Linked DNA regions of Struthio camelus. The protein of the gene in region 2 purifies or fractionates together with the protein of the main gene of each other region. This does not show direct contact. Links are inferred from orthologs where the notes say so. Each region holds a gene or a part of one and is shown on either strand. Other genes may lie near its edges. The genes, in order: PPP2R2A, PTPDC1 and PPP2R2D.

The links.
Region 1: the proteins of PTPDC1 (region 2) and PPP2R2A purify together in Homo sapiens (affinity purification with mass spectrometry; 4 studies listed by BioGRID and IntAct, counting the BioPlex papers as one, with this or other methods). This does not show direct contact. The link is inferred for Struthio camelus from reciprocal best matches to the Homo sapiens genes PTPDC1 and PPP2R2A.
Region 3: the proteins of PTPDC1 (region 2) and PPP2R2D purify together in Homo sapiens (affinity purification with mass spectrometry; 5 studies listed by BioGRID and IntAct, counting the BioPlex papers as one, with this or other methods). This does not show direct contact. The link is inferred for Struthio camelus from reciprocal best matches to the Homo sapiens genes PTPDC1 and PPP2R2D.

What each region holds. Positions count from the first base shown.
Region 1 is NC_090968.1:4,340,150-4,350,881, reverse strand, and holds the start of PPP2R2A (serine/threonine-protein phosphatase 2A 55 kDa regulatory subunit B alpha isoform), read left to right. Parts: upstream 1-6,239; 5' UTR 6,240-6,254; coding exon 6,255-6,291; intron 6,292-6,964; coding exon 6,965-7,039; intron 7,040-9,305; exon of another isoform or gene 9,306-9,404; coding exon of another isoform or gene 9,405-9,443; intron 9,444-10,732. UniProt on the Homo sapiens protein: Substrate-recognition subunit of protein phosphatase 2A (PP2A) that plays a key role in cell cycle by controlling mitosis entry and exit. Involved in chromosome clustering during late mitosis by mediating dephosphorylation of MKI67.
Region 2 is NC_090955.1:18,605,715-18,616,174, reverse strand, and holds the start of PTPDC1 (protein tyrosine phosphatase domain-containing protein 1), read right to left. Parts: upstream 5,037-10,460; 5' UTR 4,797-5,036; coding exon 4,583-4,796; intron 4,020-4,582; coding exon 3,848-4,019; intron 3,051-3,847; coding exon 2,970-3,050; intron 2,748-2,969; coding exon 2,629-2,747; exon of another isoform or gene 2,540-2,628; intron 1,833-2,539; coding exon 1,695-1,832; intron 1,331-1,694; exon of another isoform or gene 956-1,330; intron 948-955; coding exon 1-947. UniProt on the Homo sapiens protein: May play roles in cilia formation and/or maintenance.
Region 3 is NC_090948.1:1,115,885-1,126,062, forward strand, and holds the start of PPP2R2D (serine/threonine-protein phosphatase 2A 55 kDa regulatory subunit B delta isoform), read right to left. Parts: upstream 4,046-10,178; 5' UTR 3,900-4,045; coding exon 3,893-3,899; intron 3,674-3,892; coding exon 3,593-3,673; intron 1-3,592. UniProt on the Homo sapiens protein: Substrate-recognition subunit of protein phosphatase 2A (PP2A) that plays a key role in cell cycle by controlling mitosis entry and exit. Involved in chromosome clustering during late mitosis by mediating dephosphorylation of MKI67.

The DNA.
Region 1 (10,732 bases), on a different chromosome or scaffold from region 2:
CAGATCCATCCCCCCCATAGAACAAACTACACTTTATCAAAGCATAAGAAGAGATTTTAAGACTTTAAAAACACCGTTTTTAAACATATATCTCAAGTTATTTCTCATTTTGGCTTCAAAAAAATATTTAACTGCAAAATACTGGGATACCTCCTACCCTCCCAAACAAACTCCCCTGACTGAAAAATACTCGTTTTCCTCCCTCCAGACAGGTGCTTCCTGTCTACATCCAAGACCTTTTTTTCTTCTTTTCCAGAAGCCTTATTTTCCCTATATTCTTGCATGTATTTTTGTGCTCACTTTAAAGCAAAACTCCTGCCAAAATTCAGGTGTATGACTTCTATACAAACTGTGCTTAAATAATCCGTTAACCTAATGTTTTGCAAATTCTTTTCAATCATTGTAATTTAGATCTGCTCTAAACAGATAAACTTTGGAGCTGGGTTTAAACCTGTTCTGCAAACTATTACTTTAATGAATACATGAAAATCTTTACAAGCCTAATTAGTTTTTCTGTTTGCTTGCACCAGGCTAAAGTAAGGGTGGTGAAAAAGCCTCGGTTCCTGAAAGATGACATTGGATTTAAGCTCTGCTATTATAAGGGGAAGCCTCAATGAACTTTATGCTTTTGAGATGACATAAGCTACTTGTTTACCTCAATTAGTGAACTCTTTTTCCATAGGTTTGTTCAGTGATGAGTAGTTTAGGGTACTCAGTTACAGAGCCATTAGATGTTATTGCTAAATTATTTTGCTTGGGAAAGGGCTCTCTAGAAAATTGCTGGCCGTTGCACACTGAACTGAAAGTTATGTACCGTCCTTGTCTGGGTTTTCTTTTTTTTTTTTCTTTTACACCAGCGGTAATATTTATACTAAACTGCTCAGTGACTATTCAGGAGAAGATTAAATTTTAGCCCTCTTCTGAGCACTTACTCAATAGTTTAGATACTCAGGACTACTAGAAACTTAAATTTCAGTTTGCCCTTTCCAAATATAAGTCAGTGACTTCAGTGGCCCCTGCTCACTAGGGCACTTTCAAAACATGCTGTTGTAGTACTCAGGTTTAGGAGGGTGAGGCAGGACTGGAAATGCTTAAACCTTTGTTTATACCTCAGTTATGGCTGAATTTCTCTGGTCCCTGGAAAGGGAGATTTTTGGGACGATACAAGTGGCATCTGCTCAAAGTGAACTCGGGTCAAAGGAAGCTTGACTGACAGAAAAAGCAAATGAAAGCTCCATATGTCCGCAGAAGACTTCACGGTATGCTAGTTGGCTCACTGCAAATAACATAAAGCTCCTACCTGCTCAAGGGAGGTCGGCACTGGCGTAACTCACAGAGGTTAGATGGGTTGGGACTTGCACCAAATGCAGTTCACCCTGTGAGTCTGCCTGTCTAAAATTCATTACAGGTTCAGGGTCTGTCTGACCTTTTGTTAAGCATGAGCTTCCATCTGCCAGTATTAAGACATGATTCAGCACTGTTTTGATAATGGTTCTTAATTAAGTGGCTGCATACATAGAGATAATTATGTGAAATTAAGAACAGGGAAACACAGACCAAATACTAGCAAACCTTTTCTAAGTGTAAAGCCTGCTAGGCTGTGAAATGTTCTTTCCCGAAAAGCAATGGAAATCTCTGAGACACTTCAAGCTAGAGAGTATGAAGTGCAGAAGAGTATGCTGTAGGGAATTACATTGCACTGATGTTAACCTTCATGTGGCCTAAGACAGCTCAGCTATTACTAATTTCTAGTGATAATTTTGGTGATAATTACTCCCTTTATTTCTAAACTGAATTGTTGTAATTCATTATAATCTTGTCTAACAGGTCAAATTACTAGGAAACTAAGGCAGATACAAAATGAGTTGCTGATAGAGTTCTTTCTTGGGCCTTAATCGTTTGATCAGTGATTCAACACGAATATATTTTTATTGGCTACCAGTTGCATTTCACATTTTGCTTTAGGTTGTTCTGACTTCTACAGCTCCTGTTTTGCGCTGCTGTGAATGGATCACTCACTAGCCTTTTAACAAATCCATCGGAAATGCTTTTCTGTTATTTTAATCTCCTGGAGATTCTCCTTAGTCTAAGTTGAAGCGTCTATAGAGCAAGAATTAGTGATAAAAACATAATTGGGATAGATAAATGTTTAGTAAAGCTTTGTGCTTTGGTGGTTGTATATAAATTTAACATACTACAGTTACTATCTCCCCAGAGCACCTGAACAAATGCTTAAAATATGGTTAAATCAAAGGGAGATAAGTATGTGCTTACAAACTTTTTAAAATCAGAGCTGCAAAATACACTCTTGCTAATTTGCACTAACCATTAGTACTAGTGTGAATACTTGCATTGTCTGAATTAACAAGCAAGTGAACACCCAGGCAAAGATCGGGACTCCCAAGATGTTTCACTAATTACCATGGCTGTGATTTAATGATAAGTATTTATTATACTTCTATAGCTCAGCTTGTTCAAAACAAAAACCTGAAATGTTGGAATTATGAGCCTTCATTCTGGCTCCATGGTATTAAATCTTTTTTAAGAGGGATTTGGTTCTAATTATAAGGTATATACTAAAGCTTCATTAATTTGCATTACAGAACTAATTGTAGGCTTTTTTTGGCAACAGAAGTTCTTGAAACAATGTTAATTCTACTAGGAGGGCCAAATTCTGGAGTAATAGCACTGAAGGCAGTGGATTAATTTCCCTGTCTGCAAATTTTCCTGCTAAAAGGTTGTGGGACGCTTCTGTTTAGGGCTGAGAAGGATGCTCTGAAGGTATCCTGAAACAAGAAGACTACCAGCTTTTATTTAGAATTTGAGATTGACTGAATTTGGCCAAAAACTTGTAGGATTGAGTGCGTATGGTCCTGAGCTTCGGGAAATGTGCACCTGGCTGATAAGGGAAGGCCATTAACAATGTAGTGATCAAAAAACAGCCTACCTTGATTATGAATATTTTCAAACTTTCAGTGTATTTGCTTTTAGATTTCTAGATTGCTCTCAAAATGGACTAAGCAAAATACTTGGTTTCAGATATTCCCCAATTTAGAGGAGTTGCCATTTTTTTAGACTGTCCCATTATGTTTTGAGTGCTTTTCAAACAATACTGTATCATCATTTCCAAGAACTATTTTATTCACACATGCAGTCCCTTGAGGAACATAGAGATAAAGCTGCATTTGTCCAAAGTGGCCTTTAATCTGGGGCAGTTCTGGGTTTCCGGTATTTACCCTCCGACAGGGGGAGGCTGACTGTATCGGTGTGTTCATACAGAGGCGTTCAGTTCCCACAGCGCTGTGTTTTGCGCTGTACTCGACCAGGAATTGAATGGTCTTGCATTTTAAGAAAAGCCTCTTAGGTGTTTTGAGCTAGAAATGCAAAATCACTGTACGTGATGACTTAGGAAGACCTGTCTGAAGGCACGTTGCGAGTTTGTGGCTGTGCTGGGTTTGCAGTATGAGCTCATGAATCTCAAAGTGAAACCTGGATCAGCAAGCCCTACCCCGCCTGAGAAGAAAGAAAACGTTTGCGCAAACGCCTCTGAAGGGAAACTGATGACTTCCACAAGATCCTAAATAGATTGCACTGAATCAATTCGCTGAGTCCTGCATGTTAACTGCCGCTGAGACTTCAACCGGGACCCGTTGAGCTAAAAAGGCGCCTTCTTCCCTTCGGAGCCAGCAGGAGTTGTGCCAAGCGGGCTCGGCTGGAAGCCTTCCTTTGTAGATCTCGGTGGCTGTCAGCGTGAAAGGTGGATGGAGGCTAAAAATGGCTCCGAAGCACGGCTGGGTGCGCGCAGGGAATAGCAATGAGAGCGACCAAGATGCGCCGGGGTTCTCGAGCGAAACCGGAGACCGAGCGGGCGGACAAAATGGAAAGCGTCCAAGAGGGCGGGAAAGGCGCCTCGAAGAGGTGGTGAGGCCGCGGCGGAGGCCCCGCTGGGTGAGGAAATGTCACGAGAAGGAAGCAAGGGAGTGGATGCGGGGGGGGGGGGGAAGCCGAGCGCTACGAGGGAGATCCAGTGGAAGAGTAAAACGCAGGGCGGCCTGGAAAGCACCCCGGCGAGCAGGTAGGCGACGGCAACCGGGGCCTGCCGGGGCAGCGCCTCCCCCCCGCCGCCGCCGCCGCTGGAGGCCGCGCCGCGCCGCCCTGCCCTGCCCTACGGGGGGCGGCGAGGGACCCGCCGCCCCGCCCCCTCCGGAGCGCCGCCCTCTCTGCCGGGTGACGTCACCCCCAGCTCGGCCGGCGCCATTTTGAAAGTGGAGCCGTTGGGGGGGGAGGGGGGGCCGGAGCGAGGCGCGGAGCGGGGGCAGCCCGAGGAAGCGGAGCCGGCCGCACCCCCCGCCGCCGCCATCCGCCGCCATCCGCCCCCCGCCGCCGCCCCCCGCCCGGCACCGGCGGCGCCGCCGCGTAGCGCCGAGACCGCCCGACCCGCCGCGGCCGCTATCACGAGCCCAACATGGCAGGTAAGGGGAGGCTGCCCCCGCGGGGCACCGGCCCCTGCCGCCGCCGCCGCCGCCGCCGGGCGGGGGGCGCAGGTGAGGCTGCGGCAGCGGCCGGGCTGCCGGCGGCGCCGCCTCCCGCCGCGGCTCGCCCGGTTCCTGGGCGGCTCGGGCTGCGCCTGGCGCCCTGCTCTGCCGCCCCCCGCCGCGGCCGCCGGCTGCCGGCCGGCTCGCTCGCTGCCCTCGCCCCGCGTTCCCAGTCCGCCTCGCCTGCGCGCTCCGGGTTTTGTTTTTTTTTTCCTTCCCCCCTCCACCCTTCTCCTGGGAAATCTGCCTTCCTCCCACCCATCCCTCCTTCCTTTTTCTCCCTTATTGCAGAAAAAAAAAAATTTGCATGGAAGAAGCAAGGTGGAGGGGCTGGGATGGGGGGAGTGGTGTATTTTGAAGTTCAGCGTGCAGCAGGCTTGCAGGCAGGGTGGGTCTTTTGCCATATATATATAAATATATATATATAATAGTTTTTCTGAATCTGTAAGTGCTCTGGTATGTTGCATTTCTTTCCCATGGAGTTAGTGAGGACTGGGCAGAGGCGCTGCTGTGCACGGAAGGGTGTTTCAGGGTGCAGACGTGCTCGTGTCGAGAGTACAATTGCAGCCTTCTGTAGGGCGCAGCTTTCAAATCATCTGCAAATGAGTGCAAAATGGGGCACAGGATGTACTTGGATAATACAAGTCTTCCTCTGTTTTCTTTCTCATTCCTTTCTGTGCTTGTTCCCCGTTTTGCATCCTGCTTTATTTTGCATCCTGGAGTGCTCTTGGTAGGGTAGAAGAGCGTATGCATGAGGTATCTCTTCCGTCTTACTTTTCGTTGTAATTTCCTCCCTTGAAAATGTATTCATCCCCCTCCTCTGCAAATGAGTTGCCTTTTTGGTGCTTTGCATTTGGAGGAGCAAGCATGGGGGCTCTGGCAGGTTGATGCTTTGCCTTGTCCCCCTACACCCATGCCTATGCTCCACCCTCTTTTTTTGTTTTAGTCAAAAAAAATGCAGATTTAAATCAAGTAAATCGTATAAAAAATGAAATTTTGATCTTTTGTAGAAAGAGCAGTGATTTCTCTTGTAAGCTGTCCCCTTTAAATGCTTCCATGGTGTCAGCTGCTAAATGACAAATGAAGAGAGTAGGGAGGGGAAGGAGAATAGGTTGCACAAGTTCAGGGGAATGAGAGAGAAATGTGTGGTATACCTTTCCAACGTATCTGCATAAAGCTTTTTGACATCTCTTGCATAGCTAGATGCTTGTACTTCCCTTCACCTTGTCAGGTTATATAGTTTGCTTGTCTATAATCCTTCAGAAAAACTAAGGCAAGCGAAAAATGCAAGCCACAGTCTGTATTCCAGTGCTTCTCTTGCTCTTCTGTGGCATTTGCTCTTCTGTGGAAAGATTATTTTGTGGCTTCTGATTTCCATGTCTTTTAACACTTTTTTCCCCCTTAGCTTAGCGTAGAAGAGGGAAGAAGTATCTTTTGTGTTCTTTGTTGCCCAAAAGTGATGATAAACTTCTGGATTAATGTGTAAATGCCATCTGTTGCTCAGCCTCTTTGCATTGTGTGTCGAGAAAAAGTTCCATTTTGACAGGCGGTTTCAAAGAGGAAAAAAAAAAAAGGCAAGTCCATTTCAGTCTCTTCCTGTATGTACTCAGCCCAGCAGTGATTTGCTCAGAATGCAATGCAAAAGAAATGGGTGGTGGTTTTTTTTGTGTGTTTTGGTGGCAGGGTTCAAATGAATCGCTGCCTTCCGCAGAGGCAGCAATGTTCCTGAAGTTTTCTCTTCGATCCGTTTTCTATGGTAGTAGAACTTGTTAACATGAGATTGCTCGTTTGCTTTGCTGCTCAATTTGCTGCTTTTTTCCCCTCCTCTTTTAAAGGCTGATAATTACTTTCAGTTCTTCTGTGAAGAGACTTTAAATTGTGGAAATTGTGGTAACTTTTTTCTTTAGCCTTTAGTACATAGGTCCAGTTAAATATTTTTGTTAAAGAAGAAAATGAATAACACAATTGGCTTATATTAAAAGATTAGAATGTTCTGAAAAATGTAGAGCTGTTCTGGCAGTTACTGTTTAAGTTGTTTGTGTTTCTCTCTATAGAGTTCTCCTCTCTAAAGCAGGAAGAAGCTTCGTGTGAAATAGGATGTTGATGCACTTGTGTTTTTAATGCAAAGTTTAAGTTAGCACCAGCAGTGTAGCATAGTTTTGCAAGCTTTCGGTGCATGAGGCTTTTATCGTTCCTACTGCTTATGCTGTTTTTGACAAATGTTGCATTGGCCATTGGCAAGTGACTAATGACAAAAACAATATCTGTAAAGGAAAAAGGTGGGGAGGGGCAATTTGTAATTGTGCCGACAGCACAGCTGAGGAAGTAGGTGTGTACAGTGTTGCCTGAACATTTCAATTGGTAACTAGCAGTGTGTTCTCTGTGTCGCTGCAGGGGTCTCATTTTTTTTTTTTTTGATTGTCTTTTAGGAGCTGGAGGAGGAAATGACATTCAGTGGTGTTTTTCTCAGGTGAAAGGCGCTGTAGATGATGATGTAGCAGAAGGTAAGAACAATTTTTATTACTGCTAATTTTTTTTCTGACTTCCTTATCACTACTCCTTAGGCAGGAAGATTTGAATGCGATCTTGCTAAAATATCTCAGTTCTATTGTGTGTAATTTTAGCAAAGTAGACAGACAGTTAATGTACATTCAGATGCCTTAAGCCAGGATCAAAATCTGATGGTTTGTGAGTATTGTTTTGCACACTTTTAGCAGGGCTGAATTCCAGCTTCCTGAGTATTTTGCTGGAAATGTTTGTTTCCAGAATTATTGATCGAATTTTCCTGTCACTCAGCTTTTGGTTTGTGTTTTTTTCCCAATCTGCAAAATGGGGAATGTGATACTCGCATTCCACAGGGAGGTGTTGTGAGAATTAATTAATGTTTGTACTCTTTGAAGATCTAAGTGTTAGATAAAGATCAAGTAATTTTCCCAATCTTTCTAGCTTCCATTAACCAGGAGAGGATGAAATCTGAATATTTCTGCATGCTTACTCTTTTTAAAAAAAAATAAGGTTCTGTGTCGGAGGAGATGCTGGAAACTGCCGAAAAAGTTTTGTAAGCTAGGGATCCTAATGCTGGCAGTGACAAATGTCATCTTATACTAAGATGGCTGCCTCTGATTGTGACTGCAAAAATTCTACTTGTTTTTATTTATTTATTTTTTTACTTGGCTCAAGCATCATTAGAGGAGTTGTACTTTCCCTCTATATTGCTCTGATGGCTGTGCTAGAGAAAAAAATTTTCTCTGATCTTTCTTTGGGAAAGTCCCACTGACTTCTAAATTTCTTTGGCCGTAAGGACCTGTTTGCACAACATAGCCTCTAAGATCATGAGTTAAAGTTTTTCTTTTGCAAGCAATGGGCTTTGTCACCTGCAATTCTGGAGAGGGTGAGGATTATAGCTATCCTGAATGCTTGTACAGACAAGCGAGATGTATGTTGTATTTGGAAAAGCAGTAGCTAGAGTTCCCATTATTTTCACATTTGACATGTGGTTCAGTTAACTTCTAAAGGCCGAAAACTCAATATAAATGTAAGCGTCTTGTTTTTGTTTATGAGCTTCAGCATGTGGAAAATGATGCACTTTCAAAGACTGTCATTCACAAATTGAAAGATGGATTTTTTTGGAAGCAAGCAAGCTGTAACTTTTTTTTAAGGATGGATTAATCTTAAATTGTTCAAGAAGTATATTTTAAAGCTTGAACTCAAAACTACTATTAAATGTAGTATATATTTTTCCCTGCCAGATTTTAAATTGTCATTTTTATTTTAATTGTATATCAAACTAAGTCCTTAAGTACAAAAATTGAGGAAATTGTGGCCAGTGCTTGCAAATAATTCTTCATTGAAATAGACATGCGACATGTGACATGCGCATAATAGTGATGGGTGTTTTTACATATATGTTTGTGATATAGGGATCTGAAAATCCAGTTGGGAAATGTCTGTCCTGAACACCATTAGCTGTTCTGAAGTATTGTAGATTTGAAAGAAGACTTGCTAGCCTTATGCTTTCTGACACAGTTTAGCATCTGCACTATATATTGGTGGAGTCATAGTGGGTGGAGTTCAGGGAAGCCTTCACTGTGAGTGAATTAAGTAGTTTCAGTTTCAGCAAGCCAGTCGCAGGATGGCTTACAAAAAAGGAAGAATGTCCATTTTTCATCATATGGGAGACGTAGACTTCTGACTTTGCCACCCAAGGAACAAAGAAAAGTCTGATTTCATAATCAGCTGTGATTAACTTAGGATGAGTGCTAAGGCACAACCCCAAAAGCATGACATTTTGCAATTTAAATACCTAGAACCTGGTGTGAGGTCCCTAAAAGGGTGTTATGCTTGGTTGTAATGAATTTGTTGAGCTGGAATTTTCTCCTTTTCCTGTGTGTTTGGCTCCCACAACGCATACTAGAAACTGTTGAGAACCAGCTGTCTAAGTAAAAATGCATCTTTTAGCTTCCATGAGATCCTTAGAATTCCTGTTATGCTTTATAATGTCTCCCTGTAATACTGTTGAAATGGTTGATAAATGTATCAAGCTGAGACTTTTATACTTTTCCTTTTATTAGCTATATTTCTGGTTTTAAGGTTCTCTTTATGGAAATGAAGCCTTTTGTGGGGTTTTGTTTACTTTTTACAAAATTGGAATAGCAGTTATGCATGCTTCTGGTCCTCCTCCTTCAAAATGCCCAAGGACAAGTTCACAGTGGCTCTAAGTCTAGTCTGACCTTTTTTCTCCCTGCCTTTCTGTCTTCTTTCTTGTGGCAGGCACCATGGTGAAAACAAAAGAAAATCCTGCTGTCTGAAACTTACGTGATTCTCTTAACTGCTGTGGTCTGCAAGCTAACAAGTGTGGACTCTAATCCGATGTCTGTGACTACTGAGGATAATGCCAATTTATGTAGGGTAGTACCTAGGGTGTGGATTGGGGGGTTTTAAGTGGTTGGAGAGCTCAAATTAAAAAACTGTGGAATACTGAAACTTGACTAAAAACAAGGTGAAGAAAACAAGGCTGAAAGAGAAGGGAGAGGCATGTTTCATTTTCTGTCTTCCTATTAGTAATACAATGTTGCAATATTTATATTGGAAATTCTTCTTTGCATAAAAACAGTCTCAGTTAAACTCAAGCTATCTTCAGATTTACCACGCTGATTAAGCTTTACGGGTAAACTTTTTCTTCCTCTAAATCTAGCTTATTGGTTTATTTTGTACCTCTGCATAAACTAAACTAGTATATGTCAGCCAAGAAAATGGCATAATTTAATTGCATTAATCAATATAATGTAAAACCAGTAATCTCTCTGCAATGTTGCCTATAATACAGGCCAATGGAGGATAATTCTTTTAATAAAAATAATAGCAACAACAATTTTTAGTGTGGTAAGAATGCTAGTGCCCAGCTGTCAGTAGATTTGAGGTCAGATTTGACCTTGTCACCTTCACGTAATACGTACAACCTACAATTCTTAAGATATTTAGGCTAGAATGGCTGTCTACTAGAAAGATGATATTTGGTGGTTTAGATGGGTGAAGCATAATTTTTTTTCTCCTGGTTTTTCTAAGCACTGTGTGGTAGATGGATGTGATAAAATGTTTCTTTTATTGCTAATGAGGATGGAAGAGAAAGAGCTGTTCCTAAAGCTTGAGAAGATGGCAATGACTTTACATTCAGGGCCTGCCTGTGTCATTCTACTATAGCAAGCTTTGCTAAGGAATATGGATGTGTGAGGAATAAAGAATTGGCCTCTCTGTAGTATAGACAGTTTCTCCTTGGTTGTAAGCTGTGGCCTGGCCCTATCAGGTCACAAAGTTAATCACAGAAATCAAGTTATAAACTGAGTTTTGAGTGTCGGCTTAATATGGTTGGGCTCCTTTATTTTAACTGATGGCAAAAGGTTGTGCTTTTTGTCATGTAGCAGTCCATTGTGTAAGGGCAATGAGGGGTGTGGCATGTACTACCTCTGTTTCTGAAGTGGCTGATTCTTTGCATGCTCAGTAGAAGTTTTCCTCCCTCTTCACCTTCACGTTTGTCTGGCTAGAACCCAATCTTAAAACGTTTCTGTGCTCAACTTGTAGGTTCCATCTACTCTGGAGAGTTCAGAACCAGGACACTAGATTAAACAAGACTTCTCCCGTGGAGAAAACGCAGAAAGTCATTGTCCTTGATAAGTTCAGTGATCAGGGCATAAAAAGCA
Region 2 (10,460 bases):
ACCAATCTCTTTGGCAAAATTATGCCTTGGTGTTCCAGCTTCCCTGGAATCGTGGATAAATGCCAGACCTGAAGAAAAGGTTCTGCTGCGTTGTACTTCTTTGGTAGATTTCCTTCTATGATGAAGTGAGGATCCATCTTTTCGTCCATCCAAATTAAATTTACCTTGACTCCAGAATGTACACGTATTACGCACTAAGATTTCTTTGTTTAAATCCAACACAGGCTTTTGTCCACCTGCAGCAGAGCACTCCTCGCCACTGTTCTGCTGAAGTTTGTTGTGCAGTAATATCTGAGTGGGTACAGTCCATGCGGTTTCTCCTTGTTCTACGAGAAACTCAGTTGTCCTTAAATCTGACTCGCTATAGCTTAGACGCCTTTTCACATGAGTGAGCGGCTGAAGGCATTCGGGATTCCTTCTTTTCCAAAGAGGATCATATGCATGTGCCAGGGAGAAAAGAGCATCCCGGGTCTCAAAAGTAGCTGAGTGGGTTTGGGAGAACGAGTCAGATGTATCGCTGTCCTGTCTTTCTAGTTCTTTATCTAGCTGTGTAGAGACCAACTGAGAAACAGCCTCTTCAATTTCAGCTGAGAGATCTGGTATATCTAACAGTTCTGCCTCTATCACTTGTCTGTTTTCAGCCAAGTCTAGCAACAGTTTGCAAACTAGATGAATAAGTTTTGGCACGTGTTTGAGATGCCTGCTCTCATATCCGTGGAGCAGATGTCTCTGACGTGTCAGGTACTGAGATAGTGTCACTGTGTGTGCCTTGGGCTCACAGCAAGCAAATACATTTCTCAGAGGAATCAAAAACTGAGTGAATTCTCTGATGCATAACAACTGCCCTCTAGTCTGAATGGAATTAGGCCTTTTTGCTCTAACAAAAAGAATTGCTTGATCAGCAGTCATTCTTGTTGCGAAAACTAAGTAGCAGGCTATTAGAACACCTGGAAAATATAAGACAGCTATTAGCTGAAGAACTATCAGATTACAGTGAATATTCAGTAAAGAACTACTACAGGACAAAAATGAATACAGGTAAAGATAACAGGTTTTACACCCTTTGTTATGTGATGCTGTTGTTATGTAAGTATAGTTGCATTTGTTCGTCTGCAAGACAGTAAAGCCGTTCTCACTACACTTTTAACAAGAGCTAATTTCTTACCACAGCATCTCTAGCAGTTGCAGCATTTTTGAACACCAACACGAAATCAGAAGCAATGCTGGCTTCTACAGGAAGGACTCGGGCAACCAGATAGGTCTTGAAAGAGCCAGAAGTAAATGAAATTTCAGCTGCTTCACAAAAATCTACTTGATCTAACAATCAGTGGTAGGTTTGTAAGGGGAAACGTGTAATAAGTATATTCAAAAATGAAAGTGTACTAAGTGAGTTTTTCCCATCAAAAGGAAGCTGTCCCATTTGAATACAACAGGGAATTATTACATAGATTCAAAGATTTTCCAACTTTATAGGTTGTTGGGTTTGGTCTACTAAAACCAATCTCTTCCTGCCTGTGATGGATTATTTTCGCATAGACATTTGTTTAGCTTTTTTAACCACCCTATAGATGTACATCTTCCAGTGATCCAGAATTTAAAAAAATGAATAATAATATACAACCAGAGACTTTTTTGCATCTTTAAAAATACTGTTTGATTGAAAGCTGTTGACTTTTGGAGTAGAGGATACATACCTGTCCGACCAAGTCCTGCATGACAGTGAACAGCTACCCTTCCTTCCTGTAAGGCAAAAGCCATTACTTTTACCATATCAAGTATAGTTGTGAGAGATGCCACTCCGTAATCCTTCCATCCAAAATTATAAAAATAGACTAAAATAAAGAGAGAGAGAGAATTATTTTCAGTTGTACCAAATGTGAAATTTTTACTATTATATGGAGAGCAGAGATGGCCAATAATTAATGATAATACTAAAACAGCATAAAGCATCTTAGAATAATCTGACTACATACTGTTTGAAAGAGATTAGTTTCACGTTTCAAAGTACTCTTGCTATGAAAATTTGATAAATACATAAAAATAGTAAAGATTTGTCAAACTACAGTTCAGCTGGAATGTAAATGGTGTAAAAAAAAAAAAAAGAGTGATTCATACTAAAATTACTGAGCTATATCTAGCTAGAGCATAATTTTTATTTTTTTTTAAGCAATAAAAGCACTTTTTCAGTTAAAAGCTGTTTCTTAGACAGAGGCAATTCTTCTCATCTCACTGCAATATGAAAATACAAAAATATTTTCAATACAAATGTTCTCAAATCAAAGGAACGACCATTTTATAGTCTAATAAGAAAATATGCGTTGTACCAGAATCTGAAGTACAGTTAATATTTTATATATTTGGGAACTAAGAAGAAAAAAAAATTAACCCGCTGTCATCCTTTCTTTATTCCAAATACCTGAATATTAACCCTCCTTCTCACTCTACTGATACACGATCTTGGCTAATGTGTTATTCACTCTCGATTATATTTGCCAAGTTTCATCTTTATATCCTTTTTTGTGCAACATTTCTTGTACAGCTTCTTTTAGCACACAAGAATTCAAGTGAAAATACCTCCAAGTGCCAAAATCAATAGTTAATGAGGAACAGCAGCGGGAGTGAACTTACTTCCAGCCTCCATGAAAGCTTCAGGAAGGTAGGTGAAGCCACTTTCTTGTTCCAGTGGATTCCCACAGCTTGCATGCTCCCCAGGACGCTGAAGGTTAATTATGGTTTTTATGCCACATCTTAAGCAAGGAACAGATGAGTCAAAGTATTATATGCAGCCAAAATCTCGTTATCCTTTATTTTCTGAAACACACATTTATTCTTAGAGGAGAATAAATCTTTACCTGTGTATTGTTAAAATGAAAGGATCTTTACCAACAATCCAAATCTACGTCGAAAGAGAAAATGGATCAGGAATTACATGAGTAATAACTACAGTAAATAATGACTACATTTTTTACCTTTCAAATTGTTCGATAATGTTGTACTTTTCAATTAATTCTGTTGAGGGTCGAGCCATAGCCAATACGTTATCTGTTATCCTGAGAAATTAAAAAGGTAGACAATAATGTCATTATAATAATTTCTTGGGTATGAGTTTACCAAAATAAGAACACCATTTCATTTTCAAGACAGACAGAAACACCTTGCTGATTAAGTAGAAAATTTATTTTCCAAAAATTCTACTATCATATATAGTGTTAGTGATAAATCCCGTTCGGCGGATACAGCTAGTACATATCAAAAGACCATTACTGGAAACTTTCAAATCCAGGCTGATTAACACATTAGAGAACGCCTCAGAAACCTGGACTCTGACCTATGTTTGACCCTTTAAGATTCGTATGCTTCTGAATAGTAGCCACTGTTACCAAAATCAGTAATAATTTAAAGATGCATTTCATGTGAGCATTACTAATTATGAGTGTGCTTCTGTTGAATAAATACCTTACATTATTTCATCTTCAATAATGTTTTCACTTTTGAGTTCTGTTATGAACAAATTTTAATTCATTTGTATTTTAATTCTTAGGAAGAATTATCTATAACCCAAAATGTATTTTTTTTAATTCATCATAGATAGGTATTCTTTTGGATCGGAACCAAACTCACTGAAGTAAGTAGAAGTCGTTCATTGACTTTACAGGCTTACGTACAAATGGCCATTATAGTTTACTGCTAAGTGGTAATTCTGAATCAACCTATCGTTCTGTTTTATACTTCTTAGCAATATTTGAGTTTAAAAGCAGTAAGTAGAAGCTTATTTTAATTGAATTTTCTCTTTTAATAAATATAATGGATGCAGTTACATGTAGTGAAAGTAAATGCTGCATATTACCAAGAAGAGTAGAGCCCTTTAATGGCTTGCTCTTGGTCACTCCATCGAGCTGGATTTTCATACTTGCAAGCGCGCCCGCCGCATGCCATTGAACACTGCATATGACCAGGAATGACGTGGCGAAGGCGCTCGCCTACTTTAGTGTATTTTGCTGTTGGACGCCTCGAACTTCCTAGAACACAAGCAAAAACAGATTTGGTAGGAAAGCTTACAAATTCACCTCCACCTTAGAAGTTATCAGTTAAATCCTAAACTGATGAAATTAAAAATGGCATAAATAGATATGGAATACATATTTAAGATTCATTTTTCAATACAGACTTAAAGTAAGGACTCTTAGGGAAAAAATGTTTGAATTACTGCAGAAGTTGTTTCTTCTCACAGTAACTTTGCTATCTTCTGGTGGACTTACAGGTATGTGATATCCTTTGCAACAGAACAAATGTCATGATCATCGTTTGTCTGAAAACAAAAATACTTAGCACACCGTCACACATACACCACTAGCTTTTATTTTATCTGTTCTCTATAGCTGAGCTGTTAGAGTGAAGAGCATATATTAAACCCTGAATAAAAAAATCAGTGAACACAATTTAATATAAAATAGAGCAAAAAATATTTTAAAATCTGTATTTTCTGCATATATATAAAATATAGTTGACAGAACAAAGGTATATGAATTTAACACACACAGGAGAACAGAACTGCCTACAGTCTTAATGAAAAGTACTTTACTTTTTTTTTCAGGAAAAGTTGCATTCAGCTCTTCGGGGCTCAGAGATGATACGGCCACCATAACCCGGTGAGTTGATGATGAGAGTACCTCTACAACTGAGCTCCGGCGCCTCTGGATAACGCGAAGAAGGGGATCAGAGGAAGAATGCCTCCGACCCTGGAAAAAGCTGCTAAAAATACTCGCTGCTGACCACCTCCGAGGTGAGCCCTGCATGACTGCCCAACACCAGCTACAGTTCAGAAGGGCTGCCAAAGACGCTCTGATACAAAATCCAAGTTGCTCAGGGCTGAAGTTGCACAGAGCTGTGCATCGTTCTGTATGATCTGGCAGCTCTTCAGGATAGGCTGAGCTGTCTCCATAGAAACACACAATGAACCACTGATGCCAGCTATCCCTGTGGCAGCTAAATGCTATATGAACTGATTCTGTTTGGGACAAACTGTTCCGCTGCTGGTGCAAATAGTTGCATTTCAAGTAGATAATTTTGAAAATGGTCTGGGAACAACCACAACATTTTCTGTAAACAATGTGAGTATGTAAATAACACACATTCAGAATTTGCTAAGACACAAAATACTATATTCAAAAGAACAATCAAAATGTAGTTGGACACTGCTTTCTGAGAAATCCGTAAGTAGGAACATTATACTCCCCCACCTTTTGGTTTAACATTCCACAACCACCTCTCTCCCTCCACTTAGTTGCTCCAAAATGCATCATTAGCTCTGTAATGATTGGGATTAGTGTGTTCCTACTAAAATGGTTCAGTACATGATGAATTGTAGACTGTTCACTCTGGACCATTCATATCTTCTAACAAAACACAATTTGTTATTCAAAACAAAAGGCTTCCTTTTTTCAGGGCCCAGCTTTTTTTTATTAACCAAAGCTGTTAGCCCTACAGACTGAGATAAAGCAGACTATGGGGAGGGGAAGATGTATCAGTTGAGTGCTTTAAGCTTTTGAAGGTAGATATTAGGTGGTAATTTTCCTCCCACTTGGCTTCCAGCGTGCTAAGAAGGAGAATGAGCTGGCCGGAAAGATTGCAAGGTTCTCAAAAGCACAGAATTCTCATGCTGGCAATTATATGGAGAACAGACTATAGCAATGTTAAAAAAAACTTTGTCATCCCTTGTCTGTACATTAGACTGTGTGTTAAAGATTCTGAGACTAGGGAAAAGAAAAAATCTAACTTTGCTCAAAAAGCAAATTAATCCCATTGCATTTTCTTAAGCATATATACTATCCTGAGTCTGCGTTTGACATTTATGTTTGTACTGTGAAAGCAGTCAGTAACTCTTAAGAGGAATTTGCATTGTAATAGAAAGCTCTTTTCTGATTTAAAAAAAAAAAAAAACCATCAGGCAAAAAGCTACTGTTTCTTCCAGGTACTGAACAGAATTCACGTGACTGAATTTTGCATACTGCATCCCTGCTACTAAGAAGATACAGTAAGGTCTTTCTGTAGATCCTAGGCCTGAAATACCAGTAGTGATGTCACATGAGAAAAGGAAACGTTAAAGGAGATTCTGTTAGCTGTTGTCTCAAAATTCTGACTATTCTAATTCAACACTAATGATGATATCAAGAGCTGAGGGAATATTTAAATGGGTTTTTATGTTACGAGTTGGGTGGTGGAAGAGGAAGGAAGAAGATGAAAAAGGCTGTTTCAAGGGCTTCCTATATCCAGCGAATATGAAAAATGGTTTTTAACTAATTACATTGCTTTCTTAGATTTATTTCTTTCTCTTTCCAGAGTTTTCTCCGAATGGTAGTGGAGACAGAAATGAACAAGATAAAATGCTGCACACCTTTATTTTTCCATTGAATCTAGTAGGATTTGCACGTACTCACTCAAAATAGTAAGTCATAATTATATCCCATAAGAGTTTAAATGTTTTCTTTGATTTTGTTGTTGTTGTCGAACGTTCGTTTGTACCTTCGGAGAGCTAGGCAGTTTCTGAACATGAAAATGACATAGTTCTTTCGATTAAGAGGTTATACCTGACAATATGAAAGCTACAGAAAAGATCAGCGTGTTAACACATTGTGGTGATGATTAAGTAATGGAGTTTTCATTTTTATGTCATAGACATTTTGTGCTTTTAATTTGGCAGTAGTATACCTATTTTTAATTATCTATGGAAATGTAATTTTTTCCAGAATTTCTCTAAGCACTTTTTATGAATAGCATATTAGACAAAACGATTACCTGAATTCATATTTGCAAGATACACACTGCTCTCTAGCAATGAAGAATACGGTAGTTCATTTTGCAGCAAAACTCCTGCAGCCATTGCAGTACCTGTTGAAACAGTAATATGTTTACTGTAAATCTACAGCAGAAGTTCAAAAATGCAAAATAAAGCTAAGTGCCTGTCACTGATGGTAGAACTGTCCAAAGCTCTTTGGGCAGTCAGACAGGGACTGGTTTTGGGGGTTATTTTTTGGTGTACAGTCATCTTAAAACAGGTTGGCAGTCTGTCCTAGCACAATAGAAGTTTAGCACATTGTGTATTTCTAGCTCTAGAGTACAGCTGAGCATAGCCTTTATAATTTGTGCTTTGTATGGACGGGAGTCACTCAACTTAAAATATTTAAGATAACATCACCTTGATTTTTCTCAAATTTTTCAAGGTAAACATATGACTGGAAATCTTGAACTGAAATCCTGCAAAGGGCAGTTTTGATGGCACTGACGATATCATTATGGCAGCACTGTTTCTAGATCAGACCATTTATAATTTTAGTTTATAATTTCCAAGTAGACCACCCCCAAGTAATATGCCTTCTCTATTCTCTTTCTTCCACTCTTTGTTTTTAGTATGTTGACAAGTTTGAAAGCACATATGTGAAGATCCACCTGTAATAAGAAATCTGAACACAAGACCTTTTCTAAGCAGAAAACAGTTCTTCTCATGTTTTAATGTGATTTCTAATACGAGGTAAGTCCTGCCCTTAAGAGCTTATACCTGACAAACAGAAAGCTAAAGCAGAGCAGTAAGGGTGAACACATTAATCAATCACAGTGATGTTTAAATAAACCATTTATATGGATCTTGTGTGGAAATTCTTACCCAGTATTTGGTTTACCTTACATTAACAGAAAAATAGTTGCAATTATTAAAAAAAGAAAAAAAAAAAAAAAGCATCCTTATACCAAACTAAAATGTCTACACTATAGCATAACTAGTAAAACTTTTCTACATAGAAAAACCTCAGATCCCAAATTCTATGAAAACATTATTAGGATTCAGCAGCATAGTGCTTTAAAGGACAGGAGATCTGCTTAAAAAATGTTTATGGGGATGAGGTGGTATAACAATCCTAAGCTGCGTTAAAAAGAGATAACTGCTTGTTGTTCAATATCCACTTTTTTATCTATAATTCTGTGTAATGTTTTTAAAAATAATTTTAAATGGATTCAAATAGAATTTAATTTATTCAGATATTACATTATCTGACCATATACTTGATTAAATTGAGATTATTCTTCCAAGAGTGCTAGTGGACTTGATTCCCATTTACATCAAAGACACTTAGCTCTGTCCTTTCCAAGATGCTTTATGCTAGGGACAGAATAACATACATATAAATGACCCTTTAACGCTGCTGTATCGGTATAGAGTGGCCTCAAAACAATGAGAATAGCAGCTAGTGTTATTGTTTGTGAAAGCAAGTGGCCTTTTGAAACCTCAGTGATGCCAAGAAATGCATTTCTAATGTAAATATGTATATTCTTAAGAATACTAATTATGATGAATCTTAATGAAGATTAAAGAGTATCTGGAATGTTTTCTACTCGGCTATTTGGCCACCCAACTCTGCACTTTTAAAGTCAATCTCTTAATAGGCAGCAGCACACTCACTCTCTCTCTCATATATATATATATATATATATATACCCACATATACATATGTGGGTATATATATATCCTGAAAAGTCTCTGTCCAGGATCTTTCCCTACAACGTGCCATAATTAAAGCTTCAACTCAAGCTATAAATCTGGCATTTCTAACATAGCAGTATTTGACTTTACAAACTACCAACATTTTTTTAACAAAGTTTGAGAGTTATGAAGTATGATGCACTTCTTGGAATACTGAATAAAGAACATAAATTTGATTTAGATAACTTAACACTCCCAGATGTACATTACAGGACACACTGTCAGAATGAATACTGTATTCTAGAAAGTCTTCATTCAAAAATGTTGCCTGCTGCAACAGCATTGCCTGGTGTTGTTACAACTTACTGATAAAATAAGGATAATTGAAAGTGAGTAAATCAAAGCAAACATCTTTTGTCAGTTATTTATTTAACAGATGTTTCTGTATGCCTGTTTAGTTTTCCTATTTATTTGTACTGCCCACATGAAAGTGATATAAAAAAAAGAGACAAAATGTCAGAGTACTTCTCTCATCCAAAACTATTTTCCCTTTTATTTTATTCTTTTTTGGTTTTATTAACCAGAATTCAGGTTGACAAGATCTCTTAACTGAAAAGGGAAAAGATGCAAATTAATGCAGACGATAATGTCTGTAGTATTATAAAATACAAACAAGATTGTTCCAAATGGCAGAGGCAAACAATGTGTTTATTTGCTTTTTAATGAATTAGGCTCTCCTCAAACTTATTCAGAAGATATAGCAAATCCATACTTCCTTTTCTATACAACTAGTACAGTTCCAGCTGACTTAAATATTTTGTCTGTGTGCCTTTCAGTTCTGTAAATTTACTGGCTAACAGGTATTTTGAATTCCACAACGTGAGCAATGTTCCCTTGTATTTATTTCTGGGAAAAAAAAGAGATTGTGACCAACCACTTTATAGAATAATGTTGCACTCCCTTAGACAGAAGCAAAATACTATAATTTGAGACAGGAAGTACTTTCAGTGTTGATGTTACTGGAGAGGGGTATTTACATTTCTATACAGATCAAAACAGTATTAAAATTAAAACTAGTGCTTGATTAAAAGAAACAACTCTCTCCTATTTCTTCAGTGTACCATATATTTTAGTTTTTAAAAGATCCTCCTCAGCGTTTTGTTCATCACGTTAACATTTGATACTCTCAGATGCTACAGAAAAAAAGCAAGAAGCCTGGAATGTTATTCTAGGTCACGTTCCTTATTAGCTCTCTGAGGGAATTGAGTCACATACCTTGCAGCAGTCTTATCACCTTAATCAGATCCACTGTTATCTGTGTGACATGTATTTCTATTGCCATGACAGCAAAGAAGCTGCTCTTTTAATCTTTGTTTCACAATTTAAAAAAAGGGAACAGTCTTTTAGGTGATGTTCCGTCTTTGTATTTTATCACAGGAAGCAATGTCATTAAGCCTGCATAAGCAACACAGGTAGTGTAACTAACACACGGTAAAAATAATATCTGTGTTATTGGCTGATTGAAGTGAACAGCAGTATCACGTTGTGCCAGGAAAAAAGGGTCTCTTGAAATCGTGGTATCAAGCACTAAGGGGATATTTCAAGAGGTTTATTTCCCCCCCCCCGGTGTGTTTTTGTATTTGTTTCATTTTCCCTCTGTATGTATTTTTAGGGCTTTTTTTTTGCTTGAGCAAACCAGTTCCTAACAGAAGGGATATACTGGTTTTGTCCCCCATTAGTTGCACCACTGATTCACATGTTGCATTGGGTAACAGATGAGTAGTTGTCAGCTCCTACTCACTCTTTCATACATGCAGAGAGGTGGCTTTCTTGCAGAGAAACTAGTATAGTCATGCTGTGCTACCACAGGTGAGATTCAGTTTGTGCATCCACTTTCTTTCCAGGAGCAAAGTAGCCTCTTGTCCATGTTATGATTTCCTCTGGAATAAAAGCACTTCTCTTTGCACAGGTAAAGGCTGAGTTACTA
Region 3 (10,178 bases), on a different chromosome or scaffold from region 2:
GAGATTTCAAAAACTGTAGTTTCTCTTTTAATGATCAGGAAACCAACAACAGCACAACTACTCTTAAAGTCAATTACAACCTTTTTGGTAGAGAAAGAGTTCTTTTCTTATGAAATACCTTACAAAGGTGCATCCTTAAGTTAATGAACAGGATTTCACAGCATCTCTTCTCTACTGCAAAGGAAGAGCACCATGTCCCGCAATTATTCGCAGGACCAGGCTTCAGACTCAGCTGCTTCAAAAAAAATTCAAATATAGCACTTGAAACAAGTACTGCTTTCATCTGGGGAACTTCATTAGCTGAAGTCTTTACCCGTTTTATTTAGTGGGGTAATCACACTCTTAAAACTGTTCACATCTGAGACAGGAAGATATATTTAATCAGTACTGAATTAAAACAGCACTTACAGAAGTTCATCACAAACCAAAAACCCATAAAGATCGTTTGGGGGAAGGTGGAGGGGGGGAGCTGTTTAAAACCAAAACCCAAAGAAACTACAATATCAACAGTAGGAAATCTAAGATCTCCACAGTATACAGCTTCATGTTCTGACAAGAATTTCCAACTTGTCAATAGCACAAGATAATTAGGAAGACTTACAGTGCACGCTATAAAACCAAGAAGCCCCACACAGGGGCAAGTGCGCGTGCACACACACACGTTGTTAATTATGTCCAGAAGTAGTTACAGATTATATGCAGAACATCTGGCCCAGAGGATTTGGGCATATTCGTGCATTAAGTAACGGTAACCGTTTGATATTTTGCTTGCCAACCTTCCCCCACCCACAAAACCAGAACTTTTTTGAACATGTGGACCAAATTGGATAAAACACCGAAATCACAAAACTAACTAGGTCTGAGACAGCATTAAAAAAAAAAAAAAATTGAAGCCTGTACTTAGAATGCTACTTTCTACCAAAATAGGTAATCCAAGAATAACAATCCCAAGTTCCACAGGCTATGAGCATTGTGTTTGTATTCACATGCTTTTATACAAACAATAATTACAACACAAGTTTACTTTTTTTTTTTTTTTTTTTAAAATGAATCACAGAACAGTTGAGGTTGGAAGGGACCTCTGGAAATCATCTAGTCCAACCCCTCTGCACAAGCAAGGTCAAATGAAATTTGTTACCATTTTCAATACCAGTTATTTCATTCAATAACTGTTTTTCCCCCCTAGTCCTGCTCCTTGAATCCAGCCAAAGTTTTCTGCTTTAAAAACTGCATATTTCAATAACTGATACATTTTACTCATCTCTTTAGGTGACCAATCTGGCTATGTCAAACACTGTTCTTCTTTGAAATCTATTCAATGCTGTGTTTAAATAACTAGATTACTGGTTCAATACACAGAAAACACAAAGAAGAGACAAAGTAATTTTCTATATTAACGACCTACTTAGAAAAAATCTTCAGAATGCAGATGGCAGTTGCAAATCTAAGGGCATCAATTTGTCATAGCCATGCTAATATTTCCATCAAAGCAGTACCTCTGAAAAACAATTGCTGAGTATAAAATGTATTCAAGAATAACAGTTCAGAAGGAAGAGACCTTTTTAGTTAAGTTTAGTTAAGTCCAAATGTCAGGCTTCGTAATTTTAACCACTAGATAAACCGTCTATACGAACATTAAACAAAAAGTCTGTATTTAATGCATTTAACAGCTACTTTATGTTGTCATTTTCAGATTTCCTTCCTTTATAGGGCTATTTTTTTTCCCAAATCACAGAAATAAAATTACAAAAATAGCAAGCTGACAGAAAAAGACAGAATTCACAGTGGTTCTAGTCAATATCTCAGTAACAAGGCAAAAATCTAGCAATGGAATCATGTTCTTATTGCATATTGCAGAGTCAAATTCTGGCAATTATGAACATACCAGCTTTGTGTGGTTTCCACATTTAATTCCTATTTCAAGGCAAAAACTAATAGAGGGAAGAAAAGAACAAAAATGGAATATAGACAGCGAGTCACTAAGACTACAACTGATTCTGATATTCCAGAAGGAAAACAAAACCCTAGTACCAATTCTGCAAAACCACACACTGACTGATTACATACATTAGTTGCCCTATGAAGTAAATGGAATTACACGTAATAACCTCACATAATCTGCAGCCCTCACTCCAGAAGAAGTCTAAGAACTCAAGAGTAAATCCCAGAAAAATCGTTGAACACCAGAGGCACTATTTTCCCCATAACTTTTCAAAACATAGAGCTTTCACCTCTTTAACCTAAGAAACTCATCAGTCTCTGTGACTCATCTCTTCAGTAACACAAGTTTCTTTTCTCCGAACAGTGCTGTTACACACTTTGCTAACTGACGGGGTTTAAGACACTGGTGTTTCAAAAAGCAGAAGCTTTCTGACTCTACACAAATTCATGTTGCTCAGCAGTAACCGGGAAGTAAGGTGCTCAGAGAAGTATATTTATTCTAACATGGAGAACCGACTTTTAAGCAATATAGGTGAGAGATATTAAGACAGAAGGACCATTTTGGAAAGTCATAAAAGCCACTTAACTCATTACATAAGCAATCTGGAAACTTCAAAATAATATTACGTCTCAAAATCTATTTAGAAAAAAAAGGGGGGTGGGGGGAAGAAAACAACCACCTCAACTGAACACTAGTTCCTCAAGTGGTTTCCAAGTCTATTCCTCCCATAGCTATTATTTTGAATGGAATGTCAAAACAAGTGGCAGGGAAATGAAAACACTGTCAGAATAATTTCTCTATAGTAGACAGTAAGAGAAAACATTTACCGCATCCAGCAAAAAAATCTACAATCCAAGACGACCACACACAGAGACTATAAGTAACTTAACTTTTTATTGTATTTTATTTTATTGTAAGTAATGTCAGTTAATATAGTAAAAGTCTAAATAAATACCACAGAACGCTGTTTCACACACATATTGTGTAGAAAAGAGTGAAGTATTTCCAACTTGAACAGTTTAAACACGGAAAATTTAGAAAAAAAGGAGAACGTTCTCATCAAACTCCAGCAGAGCTTCACGTGTCAATTCTACACACTACAAAAATACTTCTTCCAAGTAAAACATTTCTTGTTTTCTACTCATGCCAAAGCACGTTGCACTTCGTAGGTTCCAGAGAAACGTTAAGGTGTGCCTGTTTTTCCTACTTAAATACCTTATTGGCAGCTTCCACAGGCTAACGACTAGGAATAAAATCCATTCACAGCTGCCAGAGCCTTTAAACCCTACTTTTTAAGTTAAGCCCACACGACGGAGCCACGCACTCTCTCCTTGCTTCAGAGCGAAACTCGGCAAGCCTGACAGACTCCATTTGTGCGGTCGGTTTCCTCCTCCCCCCCTCCCCCTTTGCAGTTAGTCCCCGTCGTTACTCCTTCTCCCCAGGGACTGCCGGCCGGGAGGAAGCCCCCCCGCCTGCTCGGGGATGCTGCCCTGAGCGGGGCGCGGGCACCAGCTTAGTCACGGCCAGGTGCGCCCCGTCCCGCGAGCCTCGGGCGGGGAGGGCAGCGCGGCTGCCGCTGGGCCGCCCCCCGCCTCGGCTCCGCGGCCCCCCGGCCCAGCCCGGCTCGGCCCGCGGCGGCGCCGCCCTTACCTTCCGCCACGTCCTCGTCGATAGCCCCCTTCACCTGGGAGAAGCACCACTGGAAATCGTTGCCGCCGCCTCCTGCCACCCCTGGGGAAGGGAAAGAGCTCGGTGAAGGGAGCCCGCCGCCCCCAGCCGCGGCCCGGCCCCAGCCCCGGCGCAGGCCGCGCCCCTCAGCCCCGCCGCCCCGGCGCAGGGCCGCGCTGCCCGCGTCCGCGCGGCGCGGCCTGCCGCCCTGCCCTGCCCTGCCCTGCCCGCACCGGCGGCAGCAGCAGCGCGGGCCGGGCGGCGCGGCGCGGCCCTCCTCACCTGCCATGTCGCGCGGTGCCGGTGAGGCGGGGGGCCGCGGGGGGCAGGCGCCGGCCGGGAGCGGGTCGGGGCCGCCGCCGCACGGAGCTGCCGCCGCTGCAGGGCTCGGCGTTTCAAAATGGCGCCCATTGCCGGTCGGCCTGATCCGGTGACGTCATCGCCCGGCTGCCCGCAGGGCGGGGGCGAGCGCGGGGCTGAGGCGGCGGCGGCGGCGGGCGCGGCTCCGTCCCCGACCCCGTCCCCGGCGGCCGTGACGGAAAGCACCCGGCGCTGCCGGGCTGCCCCGGTTCCGGCGGCCGCCGGCAACTCTTGGGGCGATCCTGCTGCTCGTCGCCAGCGCGGCGGCTTGGGGGGGGGGGAGGCGGTTGGAAGCCCCGATGCCTGAGAAGGCGCTTGCGACCGACGGCTGGAAAAATCACGAGTTGCCTCAGAATCGCCGCTCTCCCTCAGAAACGGGATCCTCCCGTCGTGAAATGTGACCTCCGCCGCCCCCCCGCCACGCACCCCCCCCCAACACACAGAGGGGTTCGGGGTTATAAACTACCGTTAGGAATCGCGGCTTTCTGCGGAGGGGCAGGCGCTGCAGGCGGCGCCGAGGTCCTCAGGGCTGGGAAGTAACGTTGTTGTTGAACACGAGAACTTCTGTTTTAAACGCATACATATCATTTCTTTAGGTTCCTCTGCCAGTGAGATGGCAGATCCGTGGCTGGGCGAGGTGAAGGAAGGAGGGCTGAAGCCGCGCTCCGGTGCGCTGGGGAAGGGGCCTACGGACCTGGAAAGCGCCGGTCTCCTAATGAAAAGGGCTATGAAAGGCCGCACCGGAGAGGAGCAGCATCAGCTTCCTTGAACAGGAGGAAAGAAAAGGATAAGGGGGCTTAGGTTGGAAGCAGCTTAGGAAATAAAGGCGTATGTAGGGGTAGGTTTCTGTCACGGCTGAATGGCGGCATGTAGTTTTTGGCCCAGGGGTCGCAGGTTCTTCTAAAGCCGTTGGGTTATGGATGATCCGCTTCGTTAGGGTGAAGCGAGGGCGTTGGGATGGTGGAGGTCAGCTCCTCAGATTGGGAAGAGCCTCCAGAAAACAAAACGGGACGCAGGGAGCGCGTGTCTCTGCCCGCGCAGTGAAGGCGGCCGGCCGCTTGGGAGAACGCCGGGTTGAGCCATGTGCTGGCGCAGCAGCCCCTGAGGTCTGTCCCCGTCTGGCCTTCTGGAGTCAGGTTTGTGATGCTTTCAGCTGTGGTGGTGTCAGCAAACGCATCTGGCCTCTCCTAAAGAGAGTATAACTGTGCGCACTTGATGTGGCAGAACTCTAAAATTCCTGATTTTAGTGAGAATCCCTTTCTGGCTTCTCTTTGAAGATGCGTTCTTCTGTCCTGTAAATAATGAATATTACTGGTGCTCCATTTAGTTTTGGCTTCTTACGTTACCTGTTTTTTCTAAACTAGTATACACACTGAAAGCTGTGAAAATGCAGTTTTTAACCCCTAAAGCCTAAATAGCATGAAGAAATCTAAATTAGTTTGTTATTTTTCCTTAACTCCTGTGTGGACAAGTTTTCCACCTGCAAGGCCCTCAGAAAGTGACTTCAAAGCCTGGACTAATTTTGTGGTTGATAAAGAGACTGATTTGCAAAAAGATATTTTTGCATTCAACTTAAGGGTCTCAGAGTTTATTTGTGGGGGTAGGAAAGTGATCTCTTATGGCAAGTGGCTATTAGTTGCTTTTTGTTTGTGATTAAGTTTCTGGGCTGGAGAGAACTTCTTGGACAAGTTCTGTTCTTATGAAAACTATTTCTTACCTGTTGAAAGTTGACTCTGTTTTCTGACTGCCTTGCACATTCAGCCCATAATGATTATCCAAATACGTTTATAGGTGAAATTAATGTTATATCTGTGTTATAATTTTATGGATACCTGAAACTTTTGCATTAAAAGATGAAGACTGTGGTAGGCACAATATTGTATGAAAACTCTATAGATAAGGAGATGTGGTATATCATTAATGTAAATCCAAATGGTATTAACTTTGTTTAAAGGAACTCAGTCTTGATGCTTTTATTTGTATTACCAATAAAAACATATTTAACTAAAAGTTAAAACTTGTGTATGCTGTGACCTGAATAGATACAGCTCAATCACAGACTAGAGATTTCAAAGCACAAGGGCATTTCAGCTTGAAGTTAACACTGGCTTCATTCCATTATTGAACTGAGAGTGAAAACCTTATGTCACACTGTCGGCTTGAATCTGCTTAAATCTTGATGATAGCTACTTGTCATGATTCAGGTCTGTGACCTGAGCTTCTAGGCATTGTTGAGCAATTTAAAAGCTAATTCAAAAAATCAGTGAAAAATCAGTATTTTTACTGGGACAGTTTATAGCCTATTTTATGTGTCTTATTGTTGTTATGGCGAGCTATAATGGTAAGATGGTTTAAAAAGAAAAGTTGGTTGGATAGCTCTTGTGCCTATGCTTTGGACGTCCTCAACTGCCTTATGAGTGATTGTAGAGAAGATAGAGGACAGATGCTTCTCAGTGGTGCGGAGTCAAAGGACAAAAGTCAACTGATACAAGCTGCGGGAAGGGAAATTCAGATTAGATGCAAGAAAAAAGTTCTTCTCAGGAGGGCAATCTAACACTGGAACCAGGAGCCAGAGAGGTGGTGAAATCCCCATCCTTGGAAAAATTCTTGACTGGGCAAGGCCCTAAGCAGCCAGGTCTAACTTTGAAAGTGACCCTGCTTTAAGCAGGGGCATGGGCTAAATGATCTCCAGAGGTCCCTTCTGACCACAGTGATTCTCAGTGTCTGATATAACGTTGTGTTAATTAGCTTAGTATTTTTGGACGTCTATGCGTTGGAGGTTTTGTGTGCTGATGTATTTTTGTAGAGAACTAGATGCCATAAACTCATGTAAATTAATGAGTATGCATAATTTGAGAGCTAATTTAAATGTTGACATAGGTAAATTTGTTTTGAGGATATCCTACTAATCAGAAGATTGGAATAAAAATAGCTGATAATTTAGTTAGCGTCCTGAAATGGATGCATACGTTTGTTCGTATTCTAATGTGTGGGTTTTATGAACAGGAATTTTTTTAAAAGACTTCGTAGGAATTTAGGAAGATTTAAAAAAAAAGTTAAAAATATCTCTGCAGGATATACCTTTCTTTTTAATTATATTCAAAGAATATATCCCATAAAATCAAGGAACTAGTTAGTTCTCGTAAGCTTTCTAAAGCTTGGAACTCAAATTCAAAAAAGATTCAGCCACTCACGATCCACTGGTTGGTTTGCAGTCTATGAAGTTGTTTAAAATTCTCTGACATTTATGGGAGATGTTCTTAAATGTTACTCTGCTCACTTGCTTCCACCTGAAAATAGATGTATATGTCATGTTTTTTGGTAAAAAGGTGAGGGCTGCATATTACGGGCTGGGGAATGCTTTCCAGAATTACAAAACTCTAGCATTCATCGCTTGTATCAAACTGCTGAAAAATGTTTTCCAGTGCTCAGCTATCTATGTATTGGTATTGGACTATGCACAGGAGCCTCGTGGCAGTGGTTATTATACAAGCGATAGGATGAGAGGAGGGTGTAGTATTTTTATATAATTCTCAGAATTAAAGCACTGTGTGTTTGCATTAGCCATTTTTAGATTAATGGTTTAGCGTAACATATTTAAGAGTTACACTTAGGAGAAAGTGACGCTTTGCTCTTGCCACACTTAGCAAGAAAAGCTACTGACAGAGATGTTTCCAAATGTTTTCTTGAAATAGTATCTTGCCTAGCCAGTTGCTTGATGCCCCCTGACATATGCGGTGTGAAATGTTGTTGCCAACTCATCAGCAGTTGTTCTTCTCATCTCATTTCCCATTATCTGTTTATGATTAAACAAAGCCCTGAGCCCCACTGGGGGTTTGATACTGCTCTTTCATAACTATCGCTCTGAAAATAAAGCATGCTGAAAGTATGTTTGTATTTTCAAAAAATGCAGTGCAAGCCATAGAAATGGCATTTATCATACAGTGAAAGACAGCTGGGTGTCATAAGATATCACACTTCACTAACAGATGCATATTAGGTACTAATTGACATAAAAACATCTGATTATTCTTAGGTGGAAAAAAAAGATTTTTTTGCATAGTTTTTTATCTCTTTTCCAAATTTCAAAGAAAGAAGTTAGTAAACTAGTGAGTTAGTTTTATTTTATTAGCCCTGTATTTAGCCTTATTACCTGCATTTTTTAAAAAAATGCGTTTATCAACACGGCCCATGAAAGTATTCCAAACTTCAGGCTAGTAGTACTTAAACTTCAGATTGAACTTTCTTTAATTACAGGAATTGTCCGCCCTCCTTATCTTTCCCACCACTGCCTGCGTACAGGAATGCCTTCTCTTACCTCTTTCCCAAAACCATGAGCTATACAAACCCTGATGTCTCCCAAATATTATAATTTAGACTATTTTGCTTTACCAAAGAGTCCTTTAATCCAAGCATCACTAAAGCCCCTTTCTCCTCATCCAGCCTTGATGTCCTAAAACTTATAGTTCAACTTTTATCCTGGCTTCCTGCTTTCCCCAAACACGGGTGCTCTAGCCAGCACCGTTGCCCTCCCCAGCTGCTGCCAGCCTGTGCGTCCCGTGCTTGGGCGGAAGTTCCCATGCTGTGTTGCAGCCGCTCCTGCCAGCCTATCCCCCAGCTGATTTGCTTCACTGGCAAGGGGAGCTCTTTCAGGAAGAAGCAGCACCACCTTTTTTTCTCAGTTTTAGTTTGGCTGCTGCAGCACTCTTCCTTTTTATATTTTGGGTAGCTTTTGTAGGAGGGAAGGGATGATGACATATGCTTTGCTCACTGTTTGATGCTGCAAATGCAAAACATGCCCTAGCTAGCCACAACTTCTTGTCCTGCTTACCTTCCAGTATTATTGGCTGCACATGAACTTCACACCTTTTGTGCTGTTCTTGAAAAGGAAAGAATAGGGGAAAAAAGAAAGAGAACTGCAGATACCTTTGCTGCAGGTGCCAGTCATGATGAATGAACCTTGGAAGCCTTAGCTTTAGATAATTAAAAGCAGTGTTTTTTTCCTAAAATAGCGCAGAAAAACCCCACCCCACTTTGATAGCTGAATCACCTCCTGACTGAAGAAAATGTCTGCTCTATTGTGTTTTTCGTGCTGTGATCCAGTAATTGCTTTCTGGCGTTACAGGGGAAAAACTTTAGCTAGACAGAAACAGAATTGTATTATTATAATTTATAATTGGATTCCTTCTGTTTCCTCGCTATTTTTTCTTTTTGGCCTGCCTTATTGCATTTTGCGTTTAGTCTCCTGAAGTTTGATCCATGCTCATTTGGTCATTACTTGAGCTTTTTAAAGGATACCTTCTTCTATCCAAACATCTCCCTTGTCAGCACACTGTTCAGCTATGCTGGCTTTCTCCTGCCTTTTTCCAAGCCTTTCTAAGAGGTGGTATGCTTTGGCTGTGAACATTGTGCGTTGAATTAAGTAGCCGTCTTCCAACCTAAGAGAGGTTTAACTCTTGGTTGCCTCACAGACTACTTCTAACAAGCTTGTTTTTTTAGTCTGCCTTTATAAAGTTGATCATAAATTTTAATGGATTTTAAGTCTTTGTGGGTCTTGTAGGGAGACTGAACAGTATTAGAGTTGCTATATTACATGTCACTTTTCAACTGTAAGATTTGAAGTGAAGTCTTGCATGTTACTGGGGACTGAGCCAGGGATCGCATCTTGTGTTGCGGGCTAACTAGCTGTTTCATGAAACAGTAGTTGGTAGCACCTGGGATTAGTTTTGAGGATTATCTCCTGATATGGCCCTTACCTCCATGTAGATTGGGAAAATTATGATTCTCCTTACCCTTGCATTTTCTACTCTCGGATACGCTTTGGTGTAGTGCAGTCAGCATTGCCGCTGTCCTGGCAGGCAGGCAGGAACTTTTGATCGGTGCTATAGCCTTCATGTTTTGGCTTGTAACTTCTGTGTGCGCTCATTGCGATAGCTGGCTTGTTAACTTCATTTTATTCTATGCTTGCTTTAGCACTGCTTCGCCACCAGCGTGGCCTGTTCTTTTCCTGCGTCTTTTTCGTTGTGGCGCTGAAGCGTTCCGCTGTTTGTCTTCATTCGGCAAAGCTTCGGTGTGTGCCTCCGCAGCCGAGCTCTTTAAAAGCTAAGCGTTCCAGTTTCCCCAGGTACAACTGTTGCCTCTTTTCTTGGTAACCTAGTTCAGTGAGTTTGTCTTCCATTTCCTATCTGACTGTTTCTATCCTCTGTAT